2 linked regions of the Styela clava genome follow. The protein of the gene in region 1 interacts with the protein of each later gene in a pairwise test. Links are inferred from orthologs where the notes say so. Each region holds a gene or a part of one and is shown in the gene's direction. Other genes may lie near its edges. The genes, in order: anaphase-promoting complex subunit 2-like and anaphase-promoting complex subunit 11-like.

Region 1 (18,030 bases):
CTAATTAAATTGAATTGATATGACAAGACATTTTAAATTCTCGGGTCGGCCATGATTGAGCGATGAGTGTTGCTCGGGAATTTTCTATTCTGAACCCCCTCCCTTTTAGAAAACCATGGCTGCTGCGCCCTCAGTTATGGATAATGTTATATTTGAATCACTACCACATTTCGACACCACCATCGGCAAATTTTATTAGTGACGTTAATGCTTCTTTACAGATACAAAATTAACCAAGTCAGTTTTTAAGTGAACGAATAGCTCGCGGAGCCCTGAGGCTCCGTACGGAGCACTAATAGGAGTGTGGATCAACGCCCGACAAAAGACTCATCTTCTCACCCTCATCGGATAGAAATACATTACTCAAACCATACATATAAGCGGAATAACAGCGAATAATGTATAAAGATTGGTTTCACGTGTATCTTACAGAAAAGCATCCAAAATTCATTAAAAAACCAATACATTTTTCCCGCCTATCAGCGATTTAAAATACAATTACAGATCAAGGCTAGAGATAGAAAAATATTTTCGAGTTGCCGTCTCCCAAATTAAACCTCGATTTGATATGTTGTGTATTATACAAAAAGCTTATAATTTGCATTAGTCATAATAAACGCTATTATTCACAATTTTATGTGATAAGTTTCATATAATTTTGTGCAAGAAAAATGCTAGTGTCGACTATAGTCTCAAAATCAATACCTAATTACATGTTTACCAAATGCTTGGGTCGCGAGAAGTTAGAAAAATTTCTTTTGGGTCGCGCTAAAAAGTAGTTGCGGACTTCTGGTTTAAATAACACGTCAGCATACCTTCAGTAAATGATTGCTAGCTGTACAGGTATATTTGCGTAAAACCAGTAAACAAACGTGATAGAAATGGTATGGGTTATAGATTGTCAATGTTAAACGCTTCCAGTACCGGTACCGTACCCAGAGGGTGTAAAAAATATTCTATCCTCAAAACTGCACACGTCTACATTGAAAGATATCTAAAAAATTACAAAAAAATGCAAATTTCTGCTCTGGTGATCACATTCACCATAAGAGCTGATGTCAAAATTGTTTTTTTACATCACTTTTCTTTTTGCGCGTAGGATGGGTTTTTAATGAATAAGGTCTATTGGCAATTAGGTGTATTGTTTTTTTTTTTGACGCCCGGTGTGATTTCGTACCTAAATGATGATTTTACTCTATGAATCTTTTTGTTATGTTTCATTTATTAGACAACAAGCTTTATGTAATATCACATCAAATGTGATGTTTTCTACTAAAATAGAAATGTCATGTTACTTCGCAATCCAAGAATATAGTTTTTGCAGTTGTAGCGTACCGACAGTCTATGAAATTATTATACAAGTTCAGAATATCTTCCAATATGGTATGATGTCAAGTTTCCTCTCAATATTCATTTCAATTCATACTATTTTGTTCTATTTATTAATTATCCTCCAATGAGACGGTTAATACAACCAAATACTAGCTACTTACAATTTGCAAAACAGGCTGAAAATTAACTTATGACAGGCATTTTAAAAGACGATAAACAATTCTATATGTGCACAACATTCGAACAGTACTGATGATAGCTAATTTCATGATAAAACTGAAAATACAACACTACAGGAACTGCAATGGCATCACACTCAAACCACAACATGATCACACTGCCCAGCACAAAACATCTAATCAATCCCAATCCAACAGTCACAAAACCACAAACAAACATCTCCGATCACCCACCGGAGACCAGAGGCACTACCACAGACACAAAACAGCCAAAGTCCAACCAAACACAACCACACTCAGACAACTGAACCCTGCCAACCCACAGCACACGCCAACATGCCACACCCCAAAAGGCGTCACAGCGTCACAGCGCACCCGTGTCCCCAATGCCAAAACACCAAACACGGAAACAACATCACATGACATCACCCAACAGACAAAACAAGGTCCGTCACACAGTTAAGTATGTCTGCATCGAAAGGATATCAATTTCCACACAACTTTGCTCGACATTTCAACTGCCAAATAAAGAAAACAATGTCAGTGATTCGGTTTCTGTTTTGTTGAAAATGCATGTAAATTGTACGCACCTGATTTTTAGTTAAAGATGTAGGAAGATTCTACGCACCGCAACAGAGATCATGTTCACGCACATACCGCATCGCTGACGCTGTAGTATCGTTTATATTCAACCATACAAAGCACAGCCAACTCAAACAAAACGGGCATTCTCCCAACTACACTCCCACGACAGTACAAGTTTGGTATAACTTACCATGACATATTGTGTGTAGTGTAGCTACAAATTGGGAAATGATAAGTCCGCATTTGCAAACGTACCCAGGGTTGATATAACCAAAATGAAAGTTTTAAATTTTTACCGGGTTTATATCTGTTGACCTTCGCAACCTTTTCTTTACTGGCCTTAGCTTACTGTAAGCTCCGACTAACTCAACGCCGCAAATTGCTTTTTAAAACCAGCAGATCCCGCACCTCCGCTTGATCCTAAACTAAAAAAAAACGTTATTATGTATCAAATGTAGCACAGAACAAGTCAAAAATTAAAAAAACGAATAAAGAAATAAATTAAATATCTACCTTCCAAAACCAAACTACCGATTTCTGCTTATAACTCGTTTGCAATAGCATTTAGTCCGTTAAAATTTTGTGCTATAAATACGCAATTATCGTCCAGTGCATCACCATTTGCACTTAGCTAAATTAGAAGATTTGTGTCAAGTCAGTAATAGAAAAGCTTTCGAATTCATATTGGACAATAATATGGTGAATAGGATTATAATGTTCATTTCAGATTCTTTTTTCCTTTCTGTATACACTATTTATTCAAATTTTCAACGATATAATAATTGTTATGACAGTATCAAACGAGAACATATGTGTAACACAAGTTTTATTTGCTCTTAATTATGTTGTGTTAACGTTCCGTGCACCAGCCAGCTCCAACGGCGTATGTAATCACGCCAATATCCCGTAATTTATCAGCGTTCCTGGATACGTCATTTTTGTCGGTGGCTCTGCAAAAATGTCAGACGGTGATGGAAATTCTACATAAATAAATCGACCTCCACGGGTGAAGATATAAATAATCACCGCAAACTTTAAATTTGCACTTTAAACCTGCAAATTACTTACGTTCCGTCAGTGAGTAAAAAAAATACCTTGTTTCGTTGTCTTTTTGTTGTAGTTTGTAGTGTTCTGGAAATCGATAGCTGCTTTTTTCAATGAAAATTTGTGTTGCAGGAATATACAGTAGGCTACTCTTAAACGACAAATGCATTCAACGACGTTTGAATAGCCTTTAGCTGGCAGCGATGGTGGTTGGTTTCAATGTTCCATATTTCATTTAAACGCAATTTATGATTTAATGCAGATTAGACATATGGCATTTATCAATTCAAATCGTTCGTCACTATTTCCCATATATACTGAGTTGAGACTAAATAACTCATCGACTGATATTTTAGAGTGTACATCACATAAATAGCTTCATATTCAGTCGTATATATTTTCATATGACGTTGTATGTACATTCCTTTAATGGCTGTATATGTATATCGAGTTGGCTGTATAAGTCACTGACATTGGCTGAGTATGTACACTACTTCAATAGCTGTACATGTATATCGTATTGGCTGCATTTGACATTGACTTTTGTGTATTGATTTGACTGTATATGCTTATGATATTAACTTTCGTGTATTTCTTTGACTGTAAAGGATGGCTTTGCCTATATTGAAAATGCTCTTAGAAAATTTTCTGAAATTCTCATTCAACTGCCCACCACAGGAGGGAGAAAAGCAATTATCACTCTCCACATTGCCAGGGACTCTTGCGAAACGGTCTTTTTTAAATCTAGCTTGTATGTTGTTGAAGCCAATCGAAGCAGTTTTTTCATATGCCAGTCAGAGCGGATCGATGCTCTGATTTCACTATTTTAGACTAAAAACACAGATTCGCAGATCCCAAACGCAGATTGTATGCACTTCAGTTACTTCCCTCAAATGGTAAACTACGAATTTGCCGCCATTCTTAGTTTTCAGTAGTTGTAGTGCAATAAACTCTCCTCGCATCAAAAAATGCGATTGTGATGTAATAGTGGAGAATACATGGTGCGCCTTCGAAATAAAAGAAGAATGCAAGATGTATCATAATACTGTATGTTTAATCGAAACGTGATGAATCGTAGTTTGCAAAGTATTCTCCCCTCAGACTGACCAATCCGAAAAGAGCCGCATAAAATCAGCTCGCGAGCCGCATGACAAACCTTAGCATGAAAAAACACTTCGAGTACCATGGTAGGAGTATTTTGATCAAAGGGGTAAAATCGTGTTTGGAATATTTTAATTTCATTGAAACTGTTATGATAATACATATTAGAAACAACAATTTTGAAGTTTCGTTATATTCCCTTCAGGAGAATTGAGAACGTTAGCAAAAAAATTAGATTCTGCTCCTATCCCCCACAGTATATCTGTTTGAGCAAGAATGTCCATCATTAACAGTAACCAAAATGAACAGTCGCAATCGTTTCAACTCTGGCCATGATTTATATGGTTTTCACCAAGATAGAATCGAGCATCAAGGACGTGAGGCACAGGCTCAAATGTTACCAATATCATCGAAAAGAGGATTTGAAATACTACAAATTTTTGCAATAGTGTCCTACCGTGCGTAATTGAAAAAAAAGCCAGATTGTCGTCTCGATCTTTTTATTTACGTTTAGCTCTGAAACGCGGAATTTGCGGTCTATGGGTCAACTAAATTCAAATTTGGTCCACAATGAAGAAGTTTGGGAACATATGCGTTGCGTGTATTGGAAAAACGCATGCATGGGCTAATTGATAGATTGCTATTGTGTTTGTTCATTAGGCTACTACCGTAGTATTTTATTCACAGAGGTAAAAATAAAATACCTAGGGGAAAGAGTGAACTTTTTCATCCATATTATGAAACGAGTTGTAAATCTAACATGACAATCTTTCTCGTCGCCTTGACTAATAAACCTGGTATGAGTTGAATCTAACACATCCTAGTTAAAACCCATAGTATATCTAGGAAGAATTTTGTAATATAAATTTCTAGTCTTCGAACATTTTTATGGTGTAAGTCACAAATTCGTTTGTAAAGAGAAAGAGATTTTATTGTACATTCATCTGAAATACAGATCCTCCACACTGTTGTAGATGGTAAACAAAGCCTATTGTTTTCGGAAGCCTACAAAGAATTTTGAAGGGATATGATGTTTGTCTTACATAAAATAGTTTTCAGGAAATTTAATTATTTTTTTATTATGCAATGACATATAACGACATATTGTTAAAAATTACAAGGCTTCAGAAGAAGGTGGTTATATATTGTATATTAAATATATAGCCTTTATGCTAGTGAGTAGACTGGAACGTGACGTATTCGGGCACAAATAAGTGATTCTCGAAAACAAGGATTTCCATAGTTTAATCATTCTGAGTGTTTCAATTGAGATCGGAGAATAGACGAAATGGAACAAGGAAAAGTGGGTTCTGCGCCTTATGCGTCATACACTGATCCACCTGTAAAATACAGTTCCCAAAATATAGTTGTAACAACTCCTGTGTCGCAGGAAATTCAGCGATCGAAGTGGTCAACAGGACTTTGTGGATGCTGTGAAGACACCAAAAGCTGTAAGTTGAATTCAATTCCTAAAATTTAAATGCGTTATACATAAGTTCTGGGCTTCCGGCAAACTTATCCTTCTCGATTGACTTATTTTTTATATTTCAACTATTATATTTTCATGTCTCGCAAACGTTTATTTAATAATTCCGTTATTTGAGTAGTTTTTTGGGAATATTCACTCATGTGAGGATATTATGGGTGAGTGGTGGATAACTGTGATATTGATATAAGTACCGTGATCGTACATTTTTGGACAAAATCATATTTGCACAATAAAGTTACTACAATCTAACGTCGATACTCATTTTAGTTAAAAATAGTCACAAAACTATTATTTGCAACTATTTGAATTTCAAGGTCTATGTGCATATTTCTGTTTTCCGTGCTTCTTCTGTAACCTCGCTACAAGGTTTGGAGATTCATGTGCGTATGGTTGGTGTTGTCCTCACCATTTCGTAACAGTTGCCCGTCCGTATCTCAGAGCCAGACACAATATTGTTGTAAGTTGTTATTCAATTGACTTTAGAAATGTTTGCAATGTTAAATGCTACTGTTTTAGATCTTACAGTAAATTATCTGACATGTAGATTTCTATCGCACACTATATAAAATTGTTGAGTGCCATAACCAGTCTTTTAACTGGTACGAGCAAATTTAGTACAGCTAGTGCGTCTTAACGACCTTTACTGTGAGGCAAAGATGTTTGTTTTGACAAGAGAAGTATCTCATTGCAACCTTTCACGACAATGCAAGATCTATATATAATTATACGATGATTGGTTACCCCTGATAGTATTGTGTTGATGTTAAGTTGCACTATATACAGGGCTGCCATCGATATATGAACCCAAAAATGAGAACATCAGGAAAACATAATAATAAGATAACAAAGAACGAAATGTAATAAACAATGTTTTTACGTTTACCATTTTATCTTTTATGATGTTCCAAATCTAAACTAAATTTAAAATATAATTTACCGGTATAGTCGTGTTTTGTCTAAAGCACTGATTATTGAATAGCTAGAAAGTTCAAATTTAACGCGTGTGGAAATGCTCGGGGAAAAGACAGTCGCTCAGAACGTCAGAAATTAATTTGTTCAGTCGCTTAATGAAAATTAATTTGCTCTCATGTCATAAATGCGCGAAGCAATCAATAGGTTCTAATATTATTTCTAGCAAATCAGTCATTCGAAATGACCAAACTAAATGCCCGGTATAAAAACTTCTACCCCTAAAATAAAAAAATAAGGACACATGTCAAATGAGGACGTTTCTTGGAAATAAGCACAGAAATATTTTCTGGGACAAAGACCTTCAAAATAAGGACAAATCTTAGAAATAAGAACGTTATGGCAGCCCTGACTATATATAATTGCAAAGACCTACCTATGATGTACTTAATGAATGAAACTGACAAAATTTAATACATTAGTACCTTTATCATTAAACCGCATTTATTAGAACATAGGGACATTATATGACCAGCATATAATAATGCTCTAATAGTCTAATCCAGGGGTTTAATTTAATATGGCGAGTAATCACTTTGCGTTGCAAACCTATACCTACCAATAAGTAGTACAATTTATTATCTATGCCCATGACGTTACTACTAGAAAGCTTATGTCAAATCAAGACGCGGCCCGCGGTTTCATCCAGTATTTCATATCTGGCCCGCCTGTATCAAAGGTTGCACACCCCTAAACTATAATAATTTCATTTTGGAGTAAATAATGAAGTGAATGAAATTTGGGAACAATTAACTAGAATGTCTTTCCATATGGCGAACTAAAAGTTGATATATCTCTCAAATCTCATTTCACACGCACAAAAAATTGGATTATACCGACTACAGATCTCTATTTATTAACATTTTTCAATATCTGTTTTAAGGGTGGACTTTGTGATGATTGTTGCGTGACTTTTTGCTGCACTCAATGCGTCCTGTGTCAGATTTCAAGAGAGATGGACCATCGTGGATATCCGAAGGGTTGCATGTTTTAGTTCAACATGATGTGACAGCAGCAGTAGTGTCTGTACATATACCATCATTTTTCTTCAAATTATCTAAATACGTGGTGCTAACTATAACCCAGGGGTGGGCAAATTACGGGCCGCTGGCCAAAGTGTTTCATCTGGTTCACTCGTGTCTTCTGAAATTACGACTATAGTTTTTATAGATTAAAATTTCTGTTGAAAATATCGAGAAAAATAATAAATCGTCGGCCAAAATAAATGCCGTAATTACCCACGCTTTGAATATAATGTGTAAAACGAGCCACATATACAAGCGGTCTGGGAAATTAGCACAAGCTAATTCGAGCCTGATATAAACAAGCGTTCGGACGAATGCAGGACTCTACATCAGTCCTATTAAGCAATTGTGCCACTCGATAAACTAGCTGTTCGTTATTACATTAGCTGTTACGCTAGTTATTTGTAAATGAACTGTTTTTTTTTTATTCATAGTTTCATATGGAGCCTCCGGCCCAGTATCCAAGTTCATTATCTGTAACTGGTCCACTCAGGAAAGTAATTGCCCACCCCTGATATCTCCCCTACTTTTTATGTACATAAATTGCCAGTTTGTTATACACTGACCTATCAACATTCAATGAAAACGAATTGACACGAAACGAATTGAAAAGAAGGTCCTCGCGGAAATGAAACTAGTCACCACACAACTCAAGTCCCAAAGTCGCAGTTTAAGCAGTCGCTAAACAAATAAATAATTTTATTGTATATGTAAGAAACGAAAAGCGGAAACCTAGAATAACACATAGCGAACAAAAAAATTTGTTACAATTGGACCCGAATATCTGATTTGATATTCGCGCTTATTCAACCAATTCCCTTTTTTACTAAATAATCAGTTTATTGAAGAGAAAGCTATTTTTATCGATCTAAATGACCAGGCGAAAAATTATGACATTTTAATTATTGTGCATTTATAATTTAAAAAAAAAGGTATACATAACAATGTTGTTCATATAATTTTGAATCATCAGACCAGTATAAAAAATATATTTATAAGAAGAAAAAAAACGCATACAAATTTTCCTAGACACTCGATGACTTTATCTCTTTCTTCTTATTATAAAATCCCATACCAACCTATACATTAATATACTTTTGGTGATTTACTCACGACAAGATTTCATGCAACGTTTCTTATGTGTCAATGCCAAGGTGATTGGTGATCTAGAGTCGTTTAACTTTCTATTATATGGGGTAGGATCCTATTTATCCCGGGGGAGAGGAAAGCCCGTAAGACGGATTAACCATATGGCGAACCACGGCCTCTTGTCCGGTTACCATTCCATGTCGGATATATATCGGATTAGTTAGTTTTCGTCAGCCTGAACTTAATGATAGAGGAAGCCGTAACCAACGGTTACGTGAACCACCGTACGGCGGCGAGGAGTCCACGAGTCCAATCCTCTCGCAAATAGCCATCCCTGCATGGGATTCGAACCTGCGAACGCACGCAGAGTAATCAGAGGTGTGGTGGAAAGCGTATTCTTAACGCTCAGCATGATGAGCCACACCGCCGCTTCTTTGTTAGTTAATATTTCGGCTGCATCACATTGACCTAAGACGGAGTTCAGCTAGCTATAGACATTCCGGTAATATACGTTTTAATATTACAAGAAGACAGAATACGCAGACTCTACTCAATCTGATGTCTGTCTATAGTAACTATAATTCAGGGTCACCATATTTGAAAAAGCAAAATTCCCTACAGTGCATGACTATTTTCATGACCCCGTAGTAAGAAATATCCGCACGGTACGAAATAACAATGTTCTGTATAAGCAGTGTGCACAGTACGATTGCAGATGCGGATTCAGGACATTTGAGCATTTTTTTAAATTCTTCCCGGATGCAAAATTTAACCCATTTTCCGGACGGTATGGCAACCCTCAACTATATGAATTGCTAAATGGTATTCAATATTTTTGTTATCACCGGTTCAGCCGCCATTAAATTCGACACTACCATAGCGAATGAGAATAGTAACTATGACGTCACAGTTAATTAATTGTCAATGCGGTCCTTTTTCTGAGATTTTCTGAATGCGGCCCATGCAAAAAAGAAAACTTTGCCCTTGAAGGTGTCACGCATGCCACAAGATTGATGACATGTTTTCCGCCCTAGCTCAAGAATTGGCTTTTGTTGGACACGAAATGGCCATATGGCTATGGTTCATTTTAAATAAATTGTTGTTGTTGTACTTTTCTTCTAATCGTTGTCCTACAGTAGTTTGAGATTGTTGTTGTCGATTTGAAGAGTATTCCTTTAATAAATTTCATCCAGAATTTCGCTCTTCTATTTTTATTCATGGAAACAAGGCCTTTAACACACCAAGCGGAACGACCTACGGTAAGAACATCTTCAGTTTTGAATTTGCGAAGTCAGTAGTCCTACTAGCTCAACGTAACTTGTTTGATAGCGAAATGCCAAATGAATAGACTCACAACTGTAGTATCAATTTTTTTTTTACAATACTTTAACTTTTACAGTAACTCACCATACGTTGCCTAGTCCAGTGGTTCCCAAACTTTTTGTACCATCGCTCCCCTACAGTAGTTTATACAACTTCATCCCCCCCCCCCCCCGGCACTGCAAAAAAAATTGAAAGTCTGAAACGAATATATTACAGACCAAATAAGAAGACAGATAATATTTTATAGTGTTTTCTAATGAGATGGATGAGCTTGGTGTTCTATGTGAATCAGCTTTTTGGTGTCGCTGCTTTCGAGGTCACTCGCGACTCCTGTCACACAATTAGGGCCTTCTGGAGGAAAATTTCATCTTTAACCACTGAAAATTTCAAAGCAATTGGTCCAGTGATCGAAGAGAAAAGCGGTTTTTTAATATTTTCACTAGATGTCCAAAAAGTGTCAAAGAACACCAAGAACAACATAACAACAAAACGATCGTTATGTCCACTAAACGTGTCCAATAAACAGAGAAGTCGATGTTCTGGGAAACATCCATTACTTTGGTTATCGCTATACTTGGATGATTTCGCTAGAACGAATTCCATCGGGGGAATTCCCTAAATGGAACACAAATCTTCAAGAAAACGCTGAAAGTAGGCCTATGGTCAGACAGTCAGAATGGATTTGGATCTTATCTTCGAAAATGCCGTCAGATATTTGAATTTCAATGTAAGTTAAATAAGCATTTTTAAATTTCCGGTTGGTTTTAAATCTGAAAACTGTTCGATAACTTACCGGTATTGTCCAGTCTAATTGCCTAACTTCGGACACATATCGTACCGTAAACTGCCATGTTCTTCAAATTATCTTGACTAAAAAGCGCCGTATATTGATCAATTATTATGTTACGTTTAAATCTAATATTAACTTTTTGTGAATGTTGCATAATTCTGTAATTAATTTTTCATTAAAAAACGGAAAATTTTGCTGGTAAATGACACATTCAAGGACACAGAGCGTCACTCCTACTAGTCAAAATACCGGGTCTCATGTAGTTTCTTACCTAACATACTTCTAGTGGGCGTAGCATGACAATTTTTTCGCGTATCAATCCTAACCCCCACCTGACTACACCATCCAAAAATTACGTCATCACAACGTCACAGTGACGTAATAGAGCCCTTCAAACTATACGAACTGCCATCCAAGACGCGCAAACGAGCACCCGAAATCGAACAGTTATTTCTCTCGTTTTCTTGTCGCAACGATTCCAATAGGAGAGAGACCAATAACGTCAGTCAGTTCTTTATCGTCGGCACCAATGCCATTACGGTCGATCGTGCGTATATTTGGCAAGCTCTATGACTGGATTGTGATGTCGTAGCGATTTAATTTTTGGATGGCGTAATCAGATGGGGGTTAGGATTGACATATCAAAAAATTGTTATGCAATGCCCACTAGAAGTACGTTAGGTACGAAACTACACGAGACCCAAAATACCATCATTAGATAGAGGAAATTGAAAACCATATACCGTATTTTCCCGAAATTACGCCAATATCGAGAATAGGCCGACTCCCTAAAAACGGCCTTAATGACAACGATTTTATAAAAAATCGCACGTAAGCCGGTCCTTCGAATTGTTACACGCCGGACGCTTCAAGAAAAACGTAATAGAGAACAAAATTACTGTAACGCAAACATTTCTCACGTTTATCGTTTCTGCACGTTAGCGAGGGCCGTAGGTGGATTATTACCCGTAAGTCTTACTTGTTAATTTATGTTAATAAAGTCTATATTGCTTTCCAATGTGTCGTGATTGTGTCGGGAGTTTAAAATAGAGTTCCTGAATCAGCATAAAACAATTTCCTTTGATCGCCACAACGAAGATTAATTTCGTTCCTTGTCCGTTTCAAGGAAAGAAATAACGCTGTATTAACACATTCTTATAAATCACTACGAATCTTAACATGCCAGACGCCTTAAGAAAGGCGCAGAAAGAAAACAAAATTGCTGTAACACAAATATTTCTAACGTTTATCATTTCTGTTTGTTAGCGACGGCCGTAGATCCTTACTCGTAACTCTTACTTTATTGCTTTTCATGCGTCATGATTTGTATTAATGGAAGGGATTGTTGTCGGGAGTTTAAGAGAGTCCCTGAGTCAGCATAAAACAGTTTCCTTTGATCGTCCACAACGCGGTTAATTTCGATAAGAGTCCTTATCACCGCCCTTTAACGAATAACATATCCATATCGTAAAGGTGATTAAAATTTGTGCGCCGTTAATTGCCTCTACGGCGAAAGTGCACCAAATAATAAAGTTTTCGCCATGAAACAACTGACCGTAAATCGACACTGTTGCTGTTATATAAAAGAAACACAAGCGAAAACAAACAATCACAGCCTGCACAAGCGTCACATGTTAAACAACCAATCACAGACTGTACAAGCCATTAGCTGTATGATAAGACAATCCACTTTCACAAGCGAGTGTGTGTGCGCGACACTTTTTATCGTGAGAACTTGGTATGGTTTGAAGCTTTTGGAATTACCGGCAAGTCAGCATAATATCATCTCGTTGCGTGATCAAATTCTGATACGTGAATGAGCCGATTTTTTTGGTGCAATCTGAGTCTTGCGTGTATAAGACGGTCCCTTGGTTTGGCAACTTTTTTTTTGAGTTTTAAACACGGCCTATACGCGATCATATACGGTAAATCATGAGAGGCGACATGTTGTACAAGTAAAACCTAGAATTCTGATTTTTAGATTTCGCAAAAAAAAATTGAGGTTTGATGCTGCGCCAAAAGTTACATCAATCTCATGTAGATCATTTTTTGGTCACCTACCTCAGGGGTTCTCAAACTTTTTGTGTTGCGGAGCCCTTGAAAAGGTTGACTATAATTCACGGAGCCCCAAAATAAATGTTAAATTGTTACTTTCCAATTAATATTCCTGAGTATAAGTTAAAAGTACTTTACTTAATTTAAACTGTAAATTTGACACTTGGCAAACATATTAATAATTTAGGGGTCGAATCTTTTCCCTTTTGACATTTTTGGAAGATATAAAGGGCCGCTAATAACTTGCGCGATTGCATTTTGTTACAATTGCCGTTTGTTTTCGTCAGCATGGCGTGTTTTTAAACCTCAAACATCTTTACGCCAGTGTTTATTCTCCCTAAATCGAAAATTTCCTTTGGCATATACATGTATTGTTCCACAATGACGACAATAATTGATTTTTTGTTCTCGTGGGAAATTATGTGTTCAATGTGAAAAAAAATATTATGGTGATAGGCGACGGAATGCTAAAAATAATAATTGATAAAGAGGTAAATCCGCAACTCAAATATCTTGATCGAAAAGCGGCATTCTAAAATATATATTAAAACTAAAACTTAAAATGGAAGATCACACTATAAGTTTGGTTTCAGCAGACCTTAAAACGCTTTTATAAACATTGTTAATCACAAATTTTGGTGTTATGTTAGGTTTTCTTTGGTTATTCATCGTAGTAACTGCGAAATCGAAACAAAGTCAATTGTGCGCGCGATGTAGGCTACCTTTTTTCATTCTGAAACTACCGACGGAGCCGCATGCAATAAAATAAATTTCAATCGTTCGTATTTTGCCCAGACCTTGTGATTTTTTAAACGTGATATCTTGCTCAAAAATAATCTCGAGTGCGAAAAAACAAATCAAGTTTGACAAATCCCAAGCTCGCAAAAACACGACTCCAGTTTTGTTTATAGTTGGCAGTTTATCACGTATTTTATGTTATGTTAGAATAGTATTTTTTCATTTTAGTAATCCTAATAGTAATCTCGAATCAAACGTGAGTAACGATGAGCCCAAATAAATTATAACGACAAGACACTTTAAATGCTCGCATCGGTCATGGATTGAATATTTTACGCAACAGAAATCTCGTTATCCTTTTTAATCGCGAAGAATGTTGCGCGGAAATTTCCTATTCCAATTTTGAACCCCCTCCCTCCTAAGAATCCTGGATGCGCTCCTGCTTATAAATAATGTCATTTTTTAATTCCGCCGCTTTGCCATATTTCGAGGCTATAATGTTGTCAAATTTTATCGAAGCTGTTATTGCTTCTTTGAACAGTTACCAAATTAGCCAAGTCAGTATTTTGAAAAGTAATCGAATAGCTCGCGGAGCCCCTGGGTTTCTCTCGCGGAGCCCTGGGGCTCCGTACGGAGCACTTTGAGAACCTATGACCTATCTGATGATTTTTCATTGAATTATAACATTCACATGGTTGAACTCAGTATCATAAAAATAATTTTTTTGAATATTCTATTCATAGGAAAAAGCAGATGTAAACTGGAAAGAGTCTGATATAATTGGAATGAAAAGAACATTATCTTTGCTACAAGAAAATAATTTATTAGAATATTATGAACTTCTTCTTTATGATAATTTTCGAGAAGATTTAAAAGTAAGTATTGTACTGTTTCAGCTTTATGTCTTTGATTTTATGCTTGATATTTTGCTTATATTCATAATTCATGTAATTAGAGATGTTCTGATGCTACTTTTGCCGCCAATACCGATCCGATACCAACTAAAAAAAATGATGCAGATATTTCAAAATAGCCGATATTCCGATACTGTGTAATTATTTTCTCAAGTGTGCAGGGAAGATGGTTTAAAACAATAGCCTTTGAGCACTATTTTTAGTGCACATCATTCCAGATTGAAAAATGAATATGTCACATATTAAGGAATTGATGTTTGTGATCCAGATGCGTCAATTGATTCAGATGCATGGTGCACTGACGCTTGTAATCAATTAGAAAACTCATTGGGTTTGGCCACCATGTGTATGTAGTAAAATAAATAAATGTTTAGTATACTTTTCCTATCAAACTAATACATTGAGTTACGTGCGCAGGGTTTGTGCCAATATAACGTATGATTCTGTATTTTACACATCAGAAAATCTACTACTATTCGATTGATATATTTCATCATAATTGCCATGTATAATTGAAAATGTCAATATGAAAATTTGGCAGTGAGAAATAGCCGAATTAGTTGAGCTATTTTGGCTGAAAACAGGTCAGAATCCCATTCCTGTTTCTACTTGCGGGGGTGGGCGCGTGCATGGCTCATAGTTCATGATCCCTCCTAGCAAAAAAACAATTTCAACATCAGTATTCTAACTTATTTTTTAAAACATTCTGGAATCTGGATCATATTAAAAAGCTAAATATATCGGAAATATCGGTACAGTACCGATACCAAAAAATTGGCCGATATTGTCGATACCGATATATCGGTACATCTCTATTGATAATCTGTGTAATATAGAAGAGTATATGTACTGTCAATTCTATCATCATAAAATTTAGGACTCTGTTATACATAATTTTTTGCACACCTTTGCAAGAAAAAAAATGAAAATTGTGAACCATGTCACTTTGATGTTACTACAAGCTTCAAGCCTGTACATTACAGATTTATGGGACATATTAGTATTCCTTCAAGAAAAGCTGTGCACAAGCAGTCACTGCTAGGTAAAGAACCAATATAGTTTGGATTTTAGAAGGATCAGAATATTAACAGTTTGGTATCGCCTACCCAATTTATTATATACATCTTGAACATGGAGATATCCACATAATATTTTCAGGAAAGAATTGTTCCCATATTTCGTAAACAAGTTCTATTCGGAGGAGTGACAAGACTTGCAGAAGCAGTGAAATCATTACATCAAAATATTGCATGGTAATGCAAACAGGTTTTACTATTTTCAACTATTTTTTATTTTTTGGCAATGGAGGTCTCTTTCTATTTTAACAAGATAGACATGTGTAAATAATATATACAGACTCCAAATAAGAAAGTCCTTCATTGTTAAACTACTGTCACTTATATAGGTTGTTGGCTGACTCTTTATAAAGATTAGAAAAATTTAATAAGGAAATAGCTGGATCTGATTTTATTTAAAGAAATTTAAATTAATGTTTTTGGTATATCAATGACAATGGCAGTAATACAAGCAGTCTTTTAGAAAAATCATGAAGCAAAATTGCTTCTTCTTATTCTCATCATATAGCCGTATCATGCCATCAAGTTTCTTTTACAATTTTCAAGGCAGTTTTTTTTTCAAGGTACACCAAACTGATAGAATTATGGCCTGATAATTACAGATGTGCTGCAAAAATTAGAGAAATTTTTATCTCGTGTTTGTTGTGGGATCTTGATTCGAAGATGAAAAATGTTTTTGCTGAGTTTTACTCTCATGCATTTCAAGTAAGTCTTTACGTAATCATTGCCATCATCAAGTTCATATTTTTCTGTCAAGTAACATAATTGCCTATATATTATTGGTGAAGGAGATGCACAGATCAAGTAGCGACACCTTCTAATATTTAATGAAGATGGAAAAAGCTGGAAACCTTGGTTTTTGATCTATCTTTATCTCATGCAAATAATATTTTTTGCAAATTTATATATGACACAAAAATGTTCAATCTAGGCAGCTAAGCTTCTGGAACACACTTCTCCTTTTTATTCCTGATTTGAAAAAAAATTGTTTTAAAAGTTGTAAATTTATAGAAAAAATAATCCCTAATTTTCAATTAAATTGTTAAAATGATTTTTAACAGGCATTAGTTTCAAATTCTGTTTAATTAATGTGAATACTCAGGTGATTCTAATAGGATCTTTTTCTGTTCAATATCTATTTTGCCTATATACGCAAATAGGAGACTACTCGGCACCCAAACTGAGTTTCTTTGAGTAACTTTTTTTAAAAAAAAGAAATTGCGGGATGTTTTTTTAGGTTAATACTTGGATATCAGGGCAAGATTCAAGCTTGTCAGATATTTCTATGGAAGAAGAAAATTCCTCTGAAGGGGAATCAGTAGATCATATTGTTCTGGAATGGAATGGCAAAACACGCAAAATGCTGAAAAACGATTGTGCAGATTATTTACAAAATGAATTTACACCTTTGGCATCAACATATTTGTAAGTGAAATGAAAGATAACGTTCAATGAAATCGATGAGAATATGTAGTTATCTGTATTTTATGAATGGCAAAATATTCTGGGTTGAACTAGCATAAAAGAAAGGTTATATGCATCTCAATCCACAGCACATTGTCACTGGATAGGATTTACATATTTATCCCGGGGGAGAGGAAGCCAATAAGATGGCTCAATCATATGGCGAACCACGGCCTCTCAATGGGTCGTAACCGACCAGCGGAATGCCATAGGTTGCAAAACAGATATTTGGTTCAAAAAATCCATTTTTTTCAGTATATTTCTAGTAATGATAGTTTATTTTCGAGTAGGATGAAAAAATTAATAAATAGTTTAAGAGATTTGTTTTGTTGCCATTGTATAACTCCGCTAGATGTTATACCCTGGATTGTTTTAAACTTGAATGCAACAATGTGTTTATCTTCAAAAGGTATAATACCTAACAAAGTTTGGTTACCTCATTACTTTCTAGATCAGCATGATTCTTTAATATCTGAGATAGATTAGCATTTTCATTTCCGAATACAATACATTTTTTATGTTATATTTATTCAGATTTGATCTAGATTTGTTGTTTCTTCTTGCTGAACAACCTGTATCACAAGTATTAGAAATTGAGATCAAACGTTATGTGGAAAAAACTTGTAAAGGAAAATATGAGAAATCATGGATCCACTCTCATCTAAAAACAGTAATTACAAACTTTCTTCTAAAACTTTATTATTATTAAGTATATTATATTACAGTATTTCTCTTTAGCTATATAATTTTCATATCAGCCCTGAACAATACTATATTAAGAGATATGGATGACCAATATCCGATTACTACTCTGAATAATTTCTGGATTGAAATTTCAAAAGTGGGATTTTGATAAC
Region 2 (16,369 bases), on another chromosome or scaffold:
TATTTATCAGGGAAGCTTTTTACAATCTTTAAAAACACAATCTTGTGTTGGCGAAGCACAATGAACGTGAATGTAAAAATGTCCTGTCGAATCTGACGCTATGCAACGTTAGATTTACTCTTCCTCTTGCGAGCTTTTCACTTCTGACACCATGTCATGTGTTGTCTAGCCAAACACATAAGGCATATATAAGAGGCTTTATATATTATTCAGCAAGCATTTATTACGGATGACTCCTCAGTCAACAGAAACAGTCAGATTAACATACAACCAACACAGCCTAACACAAACACAGAATACCAGTACACGGCATGTCTACAGAGAACATCACTAGCGTGAAGGTCATCTTCAGTGACCTTTGACCTAACATGATCACTTATCATGACATGAAGTGCAGGTTATAGCACGGAATTGAAACTACAGGCGAAACAGGTATATCATTCAGAGTTCAGACCTCTCGACAAATCGTTTTTGCTTATAACATTGCCATTTGCCAATAAAGCTGATAGATTGACTCACTGGTACACATTGGCAGCAACTGCCAAGTTGCTTTTTATTTTACCAATAAATGCGCTATTTGTGATCTCCGAGACAGATTTTCATCAAAGATAACCCTAAGAATTTTATCTCTATCACTTCCTGAATTTCATTGCCATGGAGCAGCTATGGCTCTGGTGTATAATATATAACCCTCAATGCCACAAACGAATAGCAAGATACCGTTACCATGGCAGCAAATTGAAAACCAATGGTGGGTAAAATTTTGCTGCCGTAACCACGGCATGTCGGCTATAATGGCAGGGCTGTTCTGATGGTGACAAATATTGAGTGAGTTGGAACATTTTTCTTATGTATACAGTTTTGATGGATTTGGGGTTAGGTTTAGGTACATATACCTGCGCATGATAAACTAAAACCTGGTTCATGACTTTGTGAATATACCGGTAATAGCGCCATAACCCATGGCAAGTGCCGCCATCGATTCGTTCGTGGCAGAAGCTGCCATTTTGGACACGAAATGGGCCTATGAGTCGTTTTCTTAAATTGTTGTTGTTTATTCTTTCTAGAATTCTCCTTGTTGCTGCATTTTTGTTTTAAAAAATTTATTTTCTTTTCAACAATTGGACCAATGAACTATTTACACTATGTGGCGGTTCCACGATCGCATTTCAACGATCTAGTGGTCAGCGAAGTCGGGAGTTTTTTGATGATAAGGTTAGTTCAGGGTGGTCCAAACCCTGTCATGTTGATACATTCAACGCGGCTTACCGAACAATTTTAGCGTATATTTGTATCTAATGGAGGAACGTTTTTGAATTTTTTTAGGTATCACAACAGGGGTTGAGATCCCGAGATTCAAACCCCTTTCTAACTCTTTGTGCCCTTATTTTAGTAAAACACTCCTCTGTTTTTGAGCGTCGGCCATGTGACAGTAGTGACGAAACGCAATCCAGTTTTTTTTAGCTAGGTCCCGAAATACCAACTTAGACGGACTTGATTGATATTTGATGATTGCAGCTTGCTCACGCTGCAAGTTTTTAAATTACTCAATATAACAATTCGTTATAAAACGAGTGTCGCAAGAAAGGTGACATAAGGAAAACACGGCGGAAACGTATTTCCTTGCCCATCACACAGTGTCTAGTTCGATTTCAAGTAATATTTGTCACGAAAGAATATAATTTGGAGCGACATTAAACGCGAGATGCGCAAAATACAACGGTAATTTCCGGGAATTACCTTTAAAATAACTGAAGGCCTTATATATATATATCCTTTAAAAGAACGCCACCCATGCAACATAATAATAGTCTGATTAGAACGGTAAACTCTCATTGTTTATTAAATTTGAAGTAAGTAAACTCGCGATATTTTGATCACTTTTGGGTTTTCTCCGACATGCGGCCCGCGAGGCATTCTCAAAAGTTTTTGCGGTCCTTCATCCTAGCAACCTTGAACCACCCTGAGGTAGACTACCAAGTACCGGTAAAATTTCAAACTATAGTTGTGAATTGAATGATTTGGTATTTCGATTCACGTTGAGACTGGAGGCATGGATCTTTATTGAAACACTCCCTTAGGAATAGAGCTCAATCGATATATCTGCCCGATATTGCGTGTTTGCCGATATATGATAACGGCAGTAAACGGCCGATATATATATCGGCTATATATAACAGTTAAAAAACCTAAAAATGTTCGTAAAAGTTGTTTTATGTACTGTTCGTTGTGATTATTTTCAATGGATAATACACCTATGTGGTTTACTGTTTTTATAATTAAATCACACATGAGGGGGCACCAAAGTCTTCAGTGCTTAGGGCACCAAAGGGGCTTGATCCGCCCCTGGTTTCAACCCATCATTTTTATTCAAAACAAAAAGTTCAGCCTAGTCTATCAGATCTGTTTCTAGACTAATTTTTGATTACTGCAATTAAAATATAACTGCTACGAAGACAAAATGACTATTGTTACTTGATTTAGACTTATATTTACCAAAAACTAACAAATAGCACGCGAAAACGAGGTAATATTCACAACCATTAAAATGATTGGCCAATATTACGGCAGTAAATAAGAATGTTAAACATTCATAAATATAATTAGAGGTAGAGTATACAAAGTTGTAGTACATAAATATTAAACACTGCTTATATACGATGCTTATATTTATGGCAAATTTAATTGTTGTGCTTCGCGACCCAAATTTGGGCCGCGACCCCGTATTTGCGAATCCCTGCCGTACGGTACCTGCAGACATCATCAATTGTTAAAACTAGTTATGTGCGTTTGATGCATGTCGTCTTGCCAGTAGCAGATACCTGTACAGAGCTCAAGTGTTGCTCATCTTTGTTTTATCGTTCTTTGTTAGTTATTAGAATTTTGGGGTCTGATATAGTTCAGTACCACATATACTTCTAGTGGGCGTAGCGTCACAATTTTTTGACATGCCAATCCTAACCCCTATCTGACTACGCCATCCAAAAATAATGTCACTACGACATCACAATCACGTCATAGAGCTTGTCAAATCGTAAATATATACTACGACGTAAAATCCATTGAGGTGGTAAAATCACCCGAAATGGCATCGGCGCCGATGAGACCAGAGCCATTATATAACTAGTCTGAAAAAACCGAGTTGTTGACAGCGACATCTGGTGTTGGCGTGGGTTTTACACCCCTGTCGTCTGCTGGACAGCCGAATCAGGCAGTTTGATGCAGGTAATGTGTGATTGTTTTCAGGCCATGTTTACACATTTCAAGTTGCGCGAAGTTGGCAAGATATAGAAAACTGAAATAAAAAGGCAAACTATTATTATTAAACTCAAATATAGACTGTGTATGCAGAAAAGGTAGTCTAGAATCCTATCCTAAGCTACTGATAACTCCGGTGCTGGTAACATTCGTTTTTTAGTTACCGGTACAGAGTTAATAATGGTTCCAAGCAAGCATCGTGTCCCGGATGGTAAGAAAAGGACATTTGGAATGCCTTTAAAAGAATGGACACAAAAGTTTCATCACGTTTTTTTGGTATCCGCAATTTTACCGTATTTTATTTTGGCTATCCAAAGCAAGGACAATCTTTATTCTTTCATTTCAGAAATATGGTGTAGGCTTCTGCTGTATGTGATGTCATGAGTTTTCACTGTTTATTTTGTGTCTTATTATATTCTAGTGTTAGCCATTTATTAACTCACTTATGACTTTGACATATTAATTGCTAAGTAATTTTCTATTGCATCTAGATTGTGTTTAAATATTGCTACTCTCCTAACTTTGAAAGCAAAGTTGAGGATGGAAAAGCTAGAATTTGTGCTGATAATTAAAAGGATGAAGATATTCAAAGGGCCAATAACAAAAGTTGGATTGAATTTGGAGCATCACCCACAAAATTGTTGCCAAGAAAATCACATAAAGTACCACCCTGCCCACCAAGAAGAATTGTTCCCAAATATTCATCTATAAATTACTGTCCACCTTCATCACCTCAATCTGCAATTATTACCTACAATTCCATTAATGAAATAATTACAGCTTTTGAAAGTATCACCTTGAAAAACTGGAGAATACATTAAATCAATACATACAGAGCTTCTTTGTTTTCTTGCGCTTTCGCTAGAGTTTATTCTTCCACAATATCATCGGCAATTTCAATCCTTCTCAAAAACTTGGTTGATCTCACCCCGTGTTTGGGATCACGCCTCAAAGCTTGGTTTTGACACCAGAAAGCACCTTCTCCACCTAGACGCTTTATTCCCCATTTTAGCAATCCCCCAGCTAGGTACTCAATCACCTTTTTGTCGCCTTTGGTTATTGACGTTTGCATGAATGGCTCAGGTACTTGGGATACTTGAAAAGCTTCTTTTATAATTTTCGGTGCTGCAGTTTTGATTATGCGTTTTAGGTCCAAATGAGAGATTTCAGAATTGTTCGAGTATGGCCTTTGCAATTTTTCAATGTATTTAGCTGTCATTTTACTTCCTGATTCTTCCCTAGAAATTTCCATCATATACGCTATAACATCTGCCCATAGTGATGATTCCTGATTTAATGTGATGTTCAAATCATTCAATGCAGTCTGCAGTGTATTCTTGCAATCAACACTTCCGAAGTCGATTTCTACTACAGATATGCACCATTTTCCTTCTATCTCGTCATCAAGCTGTTAAATATATAAAATCGGGTCTAAAACAGTGCCTAAGTGCTTGAATAAAGCAAAACAAATGTGATGTATAAATACTGACCAAATTTTTAGCAAAACAAAAACGGTCTCTACTTCCATATATTAAACTACGGTACTATGAACTCTTACTATTCATTCTTTCAGGATCAAAACCTTTTTTAATAAACAATCAGTACTATATAACTCACGTCATCAAAAAATTCAAGCATTTCTTCCTCAGATAAATCTATTTTCATTCGAACTTTGAATACCGTTAACAGCGAGCAGCCTAAAATATACAGCAGACGACGCCGCGGTTATGAATTACCCACGCCAACACTAGATGACGCTGTGAACAACAGGTCAGTATACGGCCTTCAAGACTAGTATATAATGGCTCTGGTCTGCTGTATATGATTTCATGAATCATACTGTTACACCAAAGATTTAAATAAAAATGTTCACTATTCCTATGATGATCATTGCTTGCTTTGTTTTGTAAACACGATTCTCAAGATGAGAATTATGAAAATTTTCCTATGGACCTTTCCCCGAGCATCGACTTCCTTGTTTACTTCGTGACATTGGCCAATCAGCAAAATGCAAAAAGTAACGTAACAATGCCCCCTTTTCGCATCCGCTCAGACACTTTTTTCACTCAGACAGATTTTCCAGCGTGGTTATAAACATTACCTCGTTTTCGCGTTTTTGAACTCTATTCGTTAGTTTTCAGTTGTGTTTTGGAAACTTAAATATAAATCAGATAATTCAATGATCACTCTGTCTTCTTAGGAGTTTTAATTTAATTGCAGTAATAAAAATTAGTGTAGAAATAGCTGTGATAGACTAGCCTGAAATTCTTCACCGGTACCTTTAAAAAACAGATTGTTGTATGCAACGAATCATAATGATGTTTTGAAACATATACCCCATTTTACAGACGCCAACTTGCAAAAGCACTCTTAAAATAGCCCCAAAGGTCGGGGAAAGCTCCATTGATTTGACCCTCTTATGTTGGTCAGAAACGTTTTCAAAACCCATCTGCTAAAACTTCTTGATAAGTATAGGCTACTTGTAAGTATTTACATTCAGTTTTAGAGTGCAAGTTTGTGAAAATCCCAAAATGTATATAAAGTTCATGCAATTTTGAAACAGTTTCAGATTATGACAAACCTATGAATCAAAATCATCTTTCCCTATCCAGTGTGTTATTTTTATTCAATACTGTGTATGTATCACTGAGTTGCACTTATTTATTTTTCACGTTCAGACACATTCTCATCACATTGAAAATTTGTCGCTGATCCACTATGTATACATAGCCAATTTATTTATTTTTTTCTGATTATTATCGTCCAAACTCCATTGAATTTAGTTTTCAGATAAATATAAATTTCCATCAAATTATTCTGGTCGCCTTTGTTTCATTTAACGAATGCAACCGCGGACGTCGTCTTTACTGTCGAAAATTCAGTTCGTTTTAGTCATTTAGGCCTGTTGTGGTGTGAAACACTCCAATCATGGGACCCCAAATGGCTAAATAGGGTATTTCGAATGTGACGGCAGAAGCCAAAAATAGCCCAAGCTATTTCAGAACGCCCTGGTTGTCAGTAAATTCCGGGACAACCGTGGCCCGGGGCGCCAGACGTCAATTCCGGGACTGTCCCTGTCATTGCGGGGACGGCCGATAGCCCTAGTCTGAAATAATTTTAGATTTTGCCTACTTTCCCCATTTTCCGTAGGCTATGTGTGTGTGTGTGTGTGTTGACTTGCATTCACTTTACTAACCGTGTGTTGCGTCTATATTTTGTTTGTCACCGAGCGGCGTGGGTTGTTAATGTAAGTGCCTCATATTGGGTTCGATACTGACTGGGACGCCTTATCGGATTTCTGCGCTTTCGGAATATAACTACTCCTTTAAATCTTCCCCAATAACTATTTAAAACTACTAAAACTAGGCTTGTTTGCGTTACACTACTCGACCCGAATGATCGAAAATGGCGTCCATATGACGCCATAATGGGACAAGTTAGTTGCACGGTGTTGCAGGTCAGTATACGGCCTTCCAGACTAGTTATATAATGGCTCTGATGAGACGATAAAGATAAAGAACTGACTAATGTCAGCGATCTCTCTCATACTGGGATCGTTGCGACGAGAAAACGAGAGAAATAGCTGTTCGATTTCGGTTGCACCAGTTTATGGTCACTTTGGGTTGCACAGTCTTGGATGACAGTTTGTATATTTTGAAGGGCTATATTACGTCACTGTGAGGTCGCACTGACGTAATTTTTAGATGGAGTAGACAGGTGGGGGTTAGGATTGACATATGCAAAAATTGTTGAGCCAGGCCAACAAGAAGTGAATGTGGTACTAAACTATACCAGACCCAAATAGAGGCGCAGTTCTTACCACTTCATGGCGGTTTTATAGCGCTATTCTGTATTCAGTAATCAGTATTAACGGTATATTCACAAACTAATGTACCAAATTCTAATTGATCATGCGGAATTATATCTACTTAAACCCTAACCCCAAATCCATCAAGACTGTATCCATAAGAAAAACGTTCCAACTTACCCAATATTTGTCACCATAAGGGACAGCCCTGTCCTTACGGCCCACCTGCCGCGGTTACGGCAGCAAAATTTTACCTGCCATTGGTTTTAAATTTGCTGCCGCGGTAACGGCAGATCGACATTGGTTTGTGGCAGCTAAAAAGTCAGTCGCCATAGGTTTGGCCGTAGCGGCCATGGTATGGAAATACCGCCATGGTTTTGCGGCAGCTGCAGACGCCATGGAATACTTGAAACTGCACTTGCCCAAATAGTACAAGTAGGCCTACTGGTATATTATTATTATTTTATCTATAAAAAAAAAAAAATAGTACCAGTACTGGGATAAGAACACACAGATAAATATAGGGACGTTCAACCACTTAATACCTGAATGCTGTAATAATAGCATTCCCATTTTGCGTAACATTCAATATTTCGGCTTATATGAGTGTTAGTTAAGTATAAACCACCTAAAACAAGGGAACAGAATCAGGTTTCATTTAAGCCATATAATATAGATTTTCCGTGAATATACGAGCGCATTTGTTGGTTGTTTCCATGCTCAACCCCAAAAATGTTTTGGGACCGGCATATTATGCTATATTCATTTTGGGCAGTTGGCTGTTTGGGGGAGGGGATTTTTAAACCAAACTTGAGTCTGATTAGCTGATTAGGAAAAAGTTTGTCGTCCTTTTTAGAAAAAATCCAAGATGAGATCAGTAGCTTTATACCTAATTTTGTAATTTCATAACTTAAATGCATCATGAAACAATATCTTTCGAAGTCATAAGGCCTGCCTAATCTCTCTCAGTCTCTATGTATATTGTATACCTACATTTCTAACTAACTGCATCTTTCATATTAAAACTGAAAAGCAGAATATATTATTATATTTGAGATCTGTAAATATTAAACCATGTTTCGTAAAACTAATGAATGCTATAGAATGATTAAGTTCTGCACTCCAATTACAAGGAATTCAAAAAGTTGCAGAAATATATGCAACACCATGAAATATTTTTCATCAGGAGAGTCATCGAACAAAATTAAGAAGATTGAAAATGAAATTGAAGAAGATAATACCGAAGAAAGTGTATTGCAACCTGTTGCAAGAAAAAGTATTATTCAAATGGATGAAGAAGATACAGCGGTAGAGCGCAGTGTGAAACGAAAAATGGTTTCACAAAACACCATGTACCAGCAGATGTTAGCAGAGTCTGCACCTGACGATGAAGAGGCGGTTCTGGAATACTATGTACGGAAAGCACAGGAACATACAGATTTAGTTGATGATGCAGAGTATTATGATGTTGTTGAAGCGGATAAACGTCTCTTTTTCAAAATGGTTGACATGTGGATTCAAGATGCAGGTGAAACTCGTAGAGGACACAGGGAGTTTGTGCAAGTTGCCCTAAATAATCTTGATCGATTCAATGTCCAGCATGAATCCAAAGCGTATTTAAAAATACTTGAATGTTATCCTCAATCAGAACATACTGGCATGCGAAGAGACGAGTGGTTTAAATCGGTGTGGCAAGATAAAATTATAGATCATGAACTTGGTGGAAGATTATTTAGTATTATGGCAAAAAACAATGCCCTTATTAATGATGAATTTTATAATGCATGCATGAGACTTTTTGGAAAATTCAGCCGAGCTACTGTGTCTGCCAGGCAGCTTATTTTTTGGCAGCCTAGGTTGTCTGCATTTGTTCCATTTCTTATCTCCAAACTAGAATTAGAAAAATTGACTCCCATTGAAATTGCTGTAAGAGGTTTGAGACAAGTGAATCCTGGTATAGATGCTTCATATCGAAGATTTGAAGTAGACTCATCAGTTCTCAATGATAAAAAATTGACTCCGGAAGCAGAAATAGATTGCATAATAAGCGTACAAACAGATCATCAAAGAGAAATGCTGGATCACCATGATGTAACCAAGCCACTTTTTGTAGAAGGGCCTAATATGGTGTACTTTCAAAATAAAAAAATTCAATACTATATTATGAGAACTGACCCAATTGAAAACAAGACCGAAATGTCTGAACAAGAACGAGTGTTAACTGATAGGGAATGGTGGACCCAGTTTTATGGTTCAGACTTTGGAACTTCCAAAAGATTTTTCAATAAATCTACGCAAGAATTATATTCAACTGAAAGTTTCTTGCCTAGAGTAAAATTAGAAAGTAAAAGTTTTGTGGACTTGCAGCAGAATGAAATAATTCAAGTTGAAGATGACACTAAACCCTTTGAGGGTAATGTATTTGCAGTTGCTGCAACTGATCATAAGTCTATTGGTGCTCTGCGGAGTTGGGTCAAGGGTTTAGAGCCTTCCAATCCGAAGCTCTCACAATTAACTGTAATTTTTAATGAAAAAGTAAATTTTTTGTCTGAAGGTTATAAAATTGGCCCACAAAACATAAAAGATGACCACCGTGGTTGATCGATATAGTAAAGGTGCAGAAATGTATACATGATCTATGAATAATTGCGTAAAAATGCGAATAATATATTTAGAAACTTTATCAATGATTCTTTATCAACTTTATGAAACTTGGCTTTGTGCAGTTCTTCACTCCAATACATGGGCAGATTTATTCCTCAATAGTAGGAAAAGCAAAGTCACAAAAATCACTTAAAAGCATAGCTCTTTTTACATGGATCATGTTAAGTTTTTGTGTGTACCACATTCATGTCAAATTTTTGGTTGTTTTCGATAAAATTTAATATGTCTGAGTATACTTTAATTTATATCATCTACTTTTAGATATTTGTTTGTGTAGAGTTGTTTTTAACCAGCTTAAAAATGAAGTTCAAGATAGTCAAAGTGCATGCTGTTGCAAAATGGTGTTGGCAAGCATCAGATGACAATTGTGGAATATGTCGTGATCCGTTCGAATGCTTTTGTTCTGATTGTAAAGCACCGGGTGATGATTGCCCTATTGGTAAGTTATTTTTTAAGAGTTATTGGTTAAGAGAGAGCAGAGCATTGGTTAAGAGTTAAGAGAAAGCACTGAGGCTGAATTGTGTTGCTTATCAGATCATGAATATAAATAAAATTCATGATATCATTTGTTTTGCAGTATGGGGACAGTGTTCGCATTGTTTTCACATGCATTGCATACTGAAGTGGCTTCAATCACAACAAGTCAATCAACAGTGTCCAATGTGCAGACAGGATTGGGTTTTCAAAGAGTGAACTATCAACTTGAAAAGCATTGTGAAAATGTAGCAATCAACAGTGTCCAATGTGCAGACAGGATTTCAACTGGAGCAGCCCTGGAAAAATGTGGCTAAGTGTCGTTGAGAATATCTGGTGGCATCTTCTCATTATTTAGGTGTATGCTGCTATATGTAGCCTCATTAACGTTAAAAAAATGCACTATTAGCCGAGTTCTTGGCAGGTAGTTGACGAAATTGAGTTGATGATTGAGCATTAATTTGATTATGATATCAGTAACCACTTGTTATGGAGAGGACTTTTTTTCTGGTTGAATGGATGCAATTGAATTACAAATCTAAAGAGTTGGGACAAACTAGCTGCTAATTTGTAACATGGATGGGATCCTATTTGAGTTAGGAATATCGATTTCGTTTTAGTGTGAGTTCCACTGATCTGCCCAGACATTACTGCTACATCAACGGCGCTGTTTTTCATCCATTATTTATTTTTGGCTATAGTATAAAAACCAACGCAATATCACAATGCTAAGGCAACGAAGGTGAAAAGGCCACACATGATTCTACTGACAACAGTTCGGCTGAATTTCATTTTTGTGCATAATAAATAAGTAGCGTCGTCAATTTTCGTCTAAAACTGTGATGCATCTATTGCAGGTAGAACTTCCCCCTCACAGGTTCCAAATCCTACTCTGTAATTTTCTCCTTGACAAAATCCTGATAGAATAACATTGTCTCCATCTTGCAAGAATTTTCTTGATTTTCCATTTCCGAGATCAACAGTGCGAGTTCCCTTCCAGCATAATTCAAGCATGCTGCCGAAACTATCTTGCTCCAATCCACTAATTGTGCCCGATCCATACAGATCCCCTGTTTGGGTATTGCATCCACTAATGCTGTGATGAACAAGTTGCTGCTTCATTGTCCAGTACATGTATTTGAAATTAGACTTACAGACAACTGCGGGTTCGACCATGTCTTTATCTCTTATTGCCACAGACAGGTTGATGTTAAATGCATAGTTATCATCATGTTTCAAGTACGGTAGAATTTCAACATCTTTGGGATAATTTGGTATCGCAAATGGAGCAAGAGCCTCCATTGTTACCACCCATGGTGATATAGATGTTCCAAAATTCTTACCAAGAAATGGGCCGAGAGGAACATATTCCCATTTCTGAATATCTCTTGCAGACCAATCATTCATCAGTACCATTCCAAATATGTGCTTATGGGCATTTTTTATTGAAATAGGTTCACCCAACTTGTTGCCAGTTCCCACAATAAACGCAGTCTCAAGCTCAAAATCAAGAAGTTTGCAAGGGCCAAAAACAGGAGGTGCATTTTCATTAGGTTTGGTTTGTCCGACAGGGCGGCGTATTGGTGTTCCAGAAACAACAACAGATGATGCTCTACCATGATAACCCACAGGGATATGTTTCCAATTAGGCATCAATGCATTATCCCTTCCTCTAAACATTGTACCAACATTTGTGGCATGGTGAATTGATGAATAGAAGTCTGTGTAATCCCCAATAACGACTGGCATGTGCATAGTTGCATCGCTTTGGCTGAAAAAAGCTTGTGATCTGAGCTCTGCATTATCCCTCAGAACGTCATTGTCGCTTCGAAGAAGATTCTGAATGGTTGTCCTAGCCTCCTGCCATGCTTCATAACCCAATGCCATAAAGCTATTCAAATTTTTTTCAAGAAAAACATTCTGATTGTTAACGAGATTCGGGCCATCAAAGAAAGAGGATAATCTCTTCAGTGATAAAATTTTGTCCCCAATAGCAACGCCGATCTGTGGATCTTCGTTTCCGGTAGAAAATACTCCATAAGGTAAGTTTTGAATAGGAAAATGACTGTTCTCGGCTACATCGATAAACGAACTTAACCCGGCCATGGTCTAATTCACTGAACGAGACTGCAAAATTACGAGGAAATGATAGTCTATACTTACAGGCACGCCGTTTGTTGATTGAAAGTGACCTCCTGTGGGTTGTGCACTGAGTTTTTCACGCGGCGGTCATCAGCGGTTTGCTGGCCGCATGGATTTTTTCTGGAAGGTCGAAGATTTCTGAGTGACCGACTAATCCGGATTAAATATTATTTGTAAGAGATACCATGTATAATCCAAAATTGTATATTCTTTATTTCAATTTGTCTATGTTGTGTTCCCACCGGCAGCATTTTAATGTTAAACCATAACCGGTACCTCACTATGGCTGAACACTCATTGAATGTTTCTTATTATAAAAAATTATATTGTGTATGTAAACAAAGATGGTAAGATATTTTTTACTTGTCGGACAGAGGTGTTCAAATCTGCACACAACAGATTTTGTCACACAGCCCTAAATTAACTTTTTCTGGTCTATAACTAATATTGTATGGAGTTATACTTAGATCCTGGATCAAATTTAGCGTTTTATAAACTTTTACGCCCTGGGCGTACGCTAGAAGCTGTCTGCTGTTTTGAAGTTTAGCTATAGGTAAATCAGGCCTGCGGTTTTGGGAATCAAACACCCCGGATTCTTCTCCGCGACATTTGTGTCGAACAGAAAAAATAATCGTTTTTTCACGAATAGTTGGCCTACATATATACCACCGACGTCGCGTCTGTCTGTGTTTACTAAGGTGCAACTTTATGCTACAATGATTTGTATTATCAGTTGGTCTTGGCACTTAGTGGTAGCGCGTAATTTTTCTCAAAGACACCTTCTTTTATATTTCTGAGTCAGTGCGCGTGGCTTTCTTTGGGTAGAATTTCTTTCCCTCGAACTAAACTTTCCATGAAACACGAATAGCAGCCAAAATTGAAAATATGCTTTCTTGAGTACAAACAGAAAAATTCAAAATTCAGTTTAAGTAATCATTGCTTTTAGTTCGGCGATATTGAAGATTTTGTATTCTGCGTAAATGCATTTGGCGCAAAGATTGCTTTCTTCCATATTCATCCTTCATTCTCATAGAACAACCACTGTCTGAATTAGATGCATCTGATACAAAAACCCCGTCTTCGTGTTGAATATGTCCAGTTGAAAGAAAAACTTCGTCGTTTCCATGTTTAAATTCTCCTTTTATTCCCATATTTTCACTTTCCGAAACATTGATTGGTATGTGATTTTTGACCCTTTTCTTTTTTCTAAATGACTTAAATCTACTCTGTGTTGAGCTTATTTCTGCAATATCACGAGACACTTGGGTAGTTTTGGTGAATTTTCTGTTGAAATAGAATTATGGCTTTGAGCAAAATTACTTTGATGGTGCAAATACTAAAACATATAGTAGAACAAGCTTGTGGTCGTTTCTGATACTTGAAAGTTACTGTCATTGATAAGAGTATCTCACAACAGATAGGAAAAAAAATGTTTATAGGGTCCCATTCACATATATATTTTATAAAATGCAATTTGGCATAACGTTAGAATGGCGCAAAGACTTACTTAACACTAGAAGCGGACGATTTTGAACAAAAGACACTATTGCGTGTTTTGTATATTGTTTTTGATCGACAATCACGTACAATATTAGCACGCGTTTAAAAACATAAATTACAATGATGCAATATCATGAACTTTGAAAATCCTGATTTTTAACTATCAATTCATTAATTTTGATCAAATTTCTGAATGTAAATTTGCAACCAGCTAGTATTTGACAGCCAATGAGATCTGTATATATATTTCCTCTTGACAAAAATAGGTTGTATAACTATGATAACAACTTGAGGTAACTTAATATAATAGCTTTATTTTTGCTTACCTGTATAAACGCTTGCAATTTTCTCTGTAATGAGGATTGAAAAAGACGTAGAGAATGGGATTGCACAAAGGTGACAGGAGAGGACCAAACAGAGTGATAATTTCGACGGCGTATGGAACATGAACAGTATAGTAGTCTTGTGGAATAATTTGTACCAATTTTCTAACCTGCACAATATGATATGAAGTGTCAAAAATTGCTTTTATTTGGAAGTTGGATCACAATATTAAACTCACGAATTAAATATTAAGAGAAGAATATTCTGTGATAGGTGATCGAAGCATTCTTGGTATCCCACGTTGCTACTAGTAATCATAATGAACATTTTTGAAGTAACGTTACCCGTGAAAATCGATAACTTTTTTCAATTCGAAATTTCGTTCATCCAAATGTGCGTTTGCGATGTATATACTGAAGATTCCAGCCATCTCAAGAAAGGCATCATTGTTTTAAATTAATTTAGTCTCACTAAAGCAGTGGTTTTCAACCTTTTACTGACCGCGTACCACTTTACGGTTTTTTACTATGGCCGCGTACCACCGACAAAGCCACTTTTTTGGCGTGAGGAAAAAGACACAAGAAACATGCTATGGGAGTATTTTATAATGTGGCACTACATCCCTTGTGGCGTAACACGCAAAACGGACAAAAACATGCCCATATTGCCCCATTTAAGGTGGGCAATAGCGGGCGAGAGCGATCTCTAAAGAAAAGGACTGGTAGCGTGTCAGCGCTATGGACGTTTCCCCGAACATTGATCCCGGAAAAAGTTATCCCTTTATATACTTTACTATACTTATTCTGAGTGTTTTGATGTGTTGGCGCATATAAACTGGTTTACGTGTTTGAAATCATCATTTCTATTGAAATTATTCAACCATGTGCCGTTGGCAGGTACTGATATATATATAGATAAGTTTAGCCTTGTCCATCGCATCATTTGCGAGATTCATTTTCAATTACTGCAACTACATTAAAGCTCATCGGAAGACATATAATGACAATTAAGTTAATTAGTTCACAATTATTTTCTTGGACACAACTGAAAACTGACAAATATCACTCAAAACTACAAAAACGAGGCAATGTTTGCAACCATGCTTGAATATCTGTTTGGGCGACAGAATTGTCTGAGCGACTGGTTGCAGAAATTGCAATTGTTACCTGTTGCGTCATTATTGACTTATTGCTGATTGGTTACAGTTACGGAAATAAACAAGAAAATTGGAGCTTGGGAAAACATCCATAAACGCTCAGCAAATACATACAGTAAGGAAGATAAAGTGTTGCCGGCATCCAACTGAATGGTTAATTGCTGCAATAATTCAAATCAGCTCGCGTACCAGTTAATAAGCTCCCGCGTACCACTTGAAAAGCTCCCACTAGCGGCACGCGTACCACAGGTTGAGAACCACTGCACTAAAGGGTTGATTTTTTTACTTCTCAATTCAACAAAACTGACAGGCTGTTTCATTTTTAACTTACCAAAAATGGCACGTAGAGAATTGCAAACAACGTGCAGATCGCTGTCGTCATCTTCGTAATCCGACTTACGTTACGTCGTATCCCTTTCGGCCGTGACGCACGTTGTCGCCATGACATCAGGCGACTTCCCACAAAGTTAGAAAATATTGAATTGGATGACGTGGATTTTAGTCTCTGAAAATAGCATCACGTCAGAGGAAATACGCATGTTAAATATTTTTATTCCGGGATATAAGAATGAATTGATTGAAGATGTCGTATGTGATTTCAGAAATTTAATTCGGCGCAAATGTGAGCCATTGGTGAGATCGAATAATAATGAAACCTTTTTGAAAATGTGATATATATATATATTCAGGGTTTCTCGAAGTAAAATAACTGTATTTATATATGACATTGTACTATATTGATATACTGCATATAACATAGCAACAACCTACCTCTTCGTTCGTTCCAGAATTAAACGAGCGATCAAGAAATGGTTCACTAGATGCAGTCCTCTTTTCTGTGAAAATCAAATTGTCTATAAAGAGTATTTCAGTGGTCGGCAACCTTTTTTAAGTGACGGACCGGTAATGCCTGACCAAAATTTTGGCGGACCACCTTTATACAAACGAACTAAGCTAATGCAATAAATTATACGCATTAGGAAATCTATGTTGACAATATACTAAAAACGACGGCCATGCTATTTGATTCGATATCTGTATGT

Evidence for each region.
Region 2: the proteins of anaphase-promoting complex subunit 2-like (region 1) and anaphase-promoting complex subunit 11-like interact in a two-hybrid assay, tested with the Drosophila melanogaster proteins (2 studies listed by BioGRID). The link is inferred for Styela clava from reciprocal best matches to the Drosophila melanogaster genes mr and lmgA.

The regions. Positions count from the first base shown.
Region 1 is NC_135254.1:19,223,419-19,241,448, reverse strand, and holds the start of anaphase-promoting complex subunit 2-like, read left to right. Parts: upstream 1-10,673; 5' UTR 10,674-10,812; coding exon 10,813-10,863; intron 10,864-14,462; coding exon 14,463-14,594; intron 14,595-15,791; coding exon 15,792-15,886; intron 15,887-16,272; coding exon 16,273-16,414; intron 16,415-16,946; coding exon 16,947-17,134; intron 17,135-17,707; coding exon 17,708-17,843; intron 17,844-18,030. Other genes in the region: placenta-specific gene 8 protein-like, read left to right, coding at 5,530-5,692, 6,045-6,187, 7,583-7,693.
Region 2 is NC_135257.1:2,780,949-2,797,317, forward strand, and holds anaphase-promoting complex subunit 11-like, read left to right. Parts: upstream 1-10,030; coding exon 10,031-10,169; intron 10,170-10,307; coding exon 10,308-10,423; 3' UTR 10,424-11,028; downstream 11,029-16,369. Other genes in the region: uncharacterized protein LOC120346275, read right to left, coding at 4,127-4,666, 4,876-4,923; evolutionarily conserved signaling intermediate in Toll pathway, mitochondrial-like, read left to right, coding at 8,141-9,667; fumarylacetoacetase-like, read right to left, coding at 11,036-12,310; uncharacterized protein LOC120346660, read right to left, coding at 13,267-13,630, 14,173-14,339, 15,658-15,831, 16,098-16,162.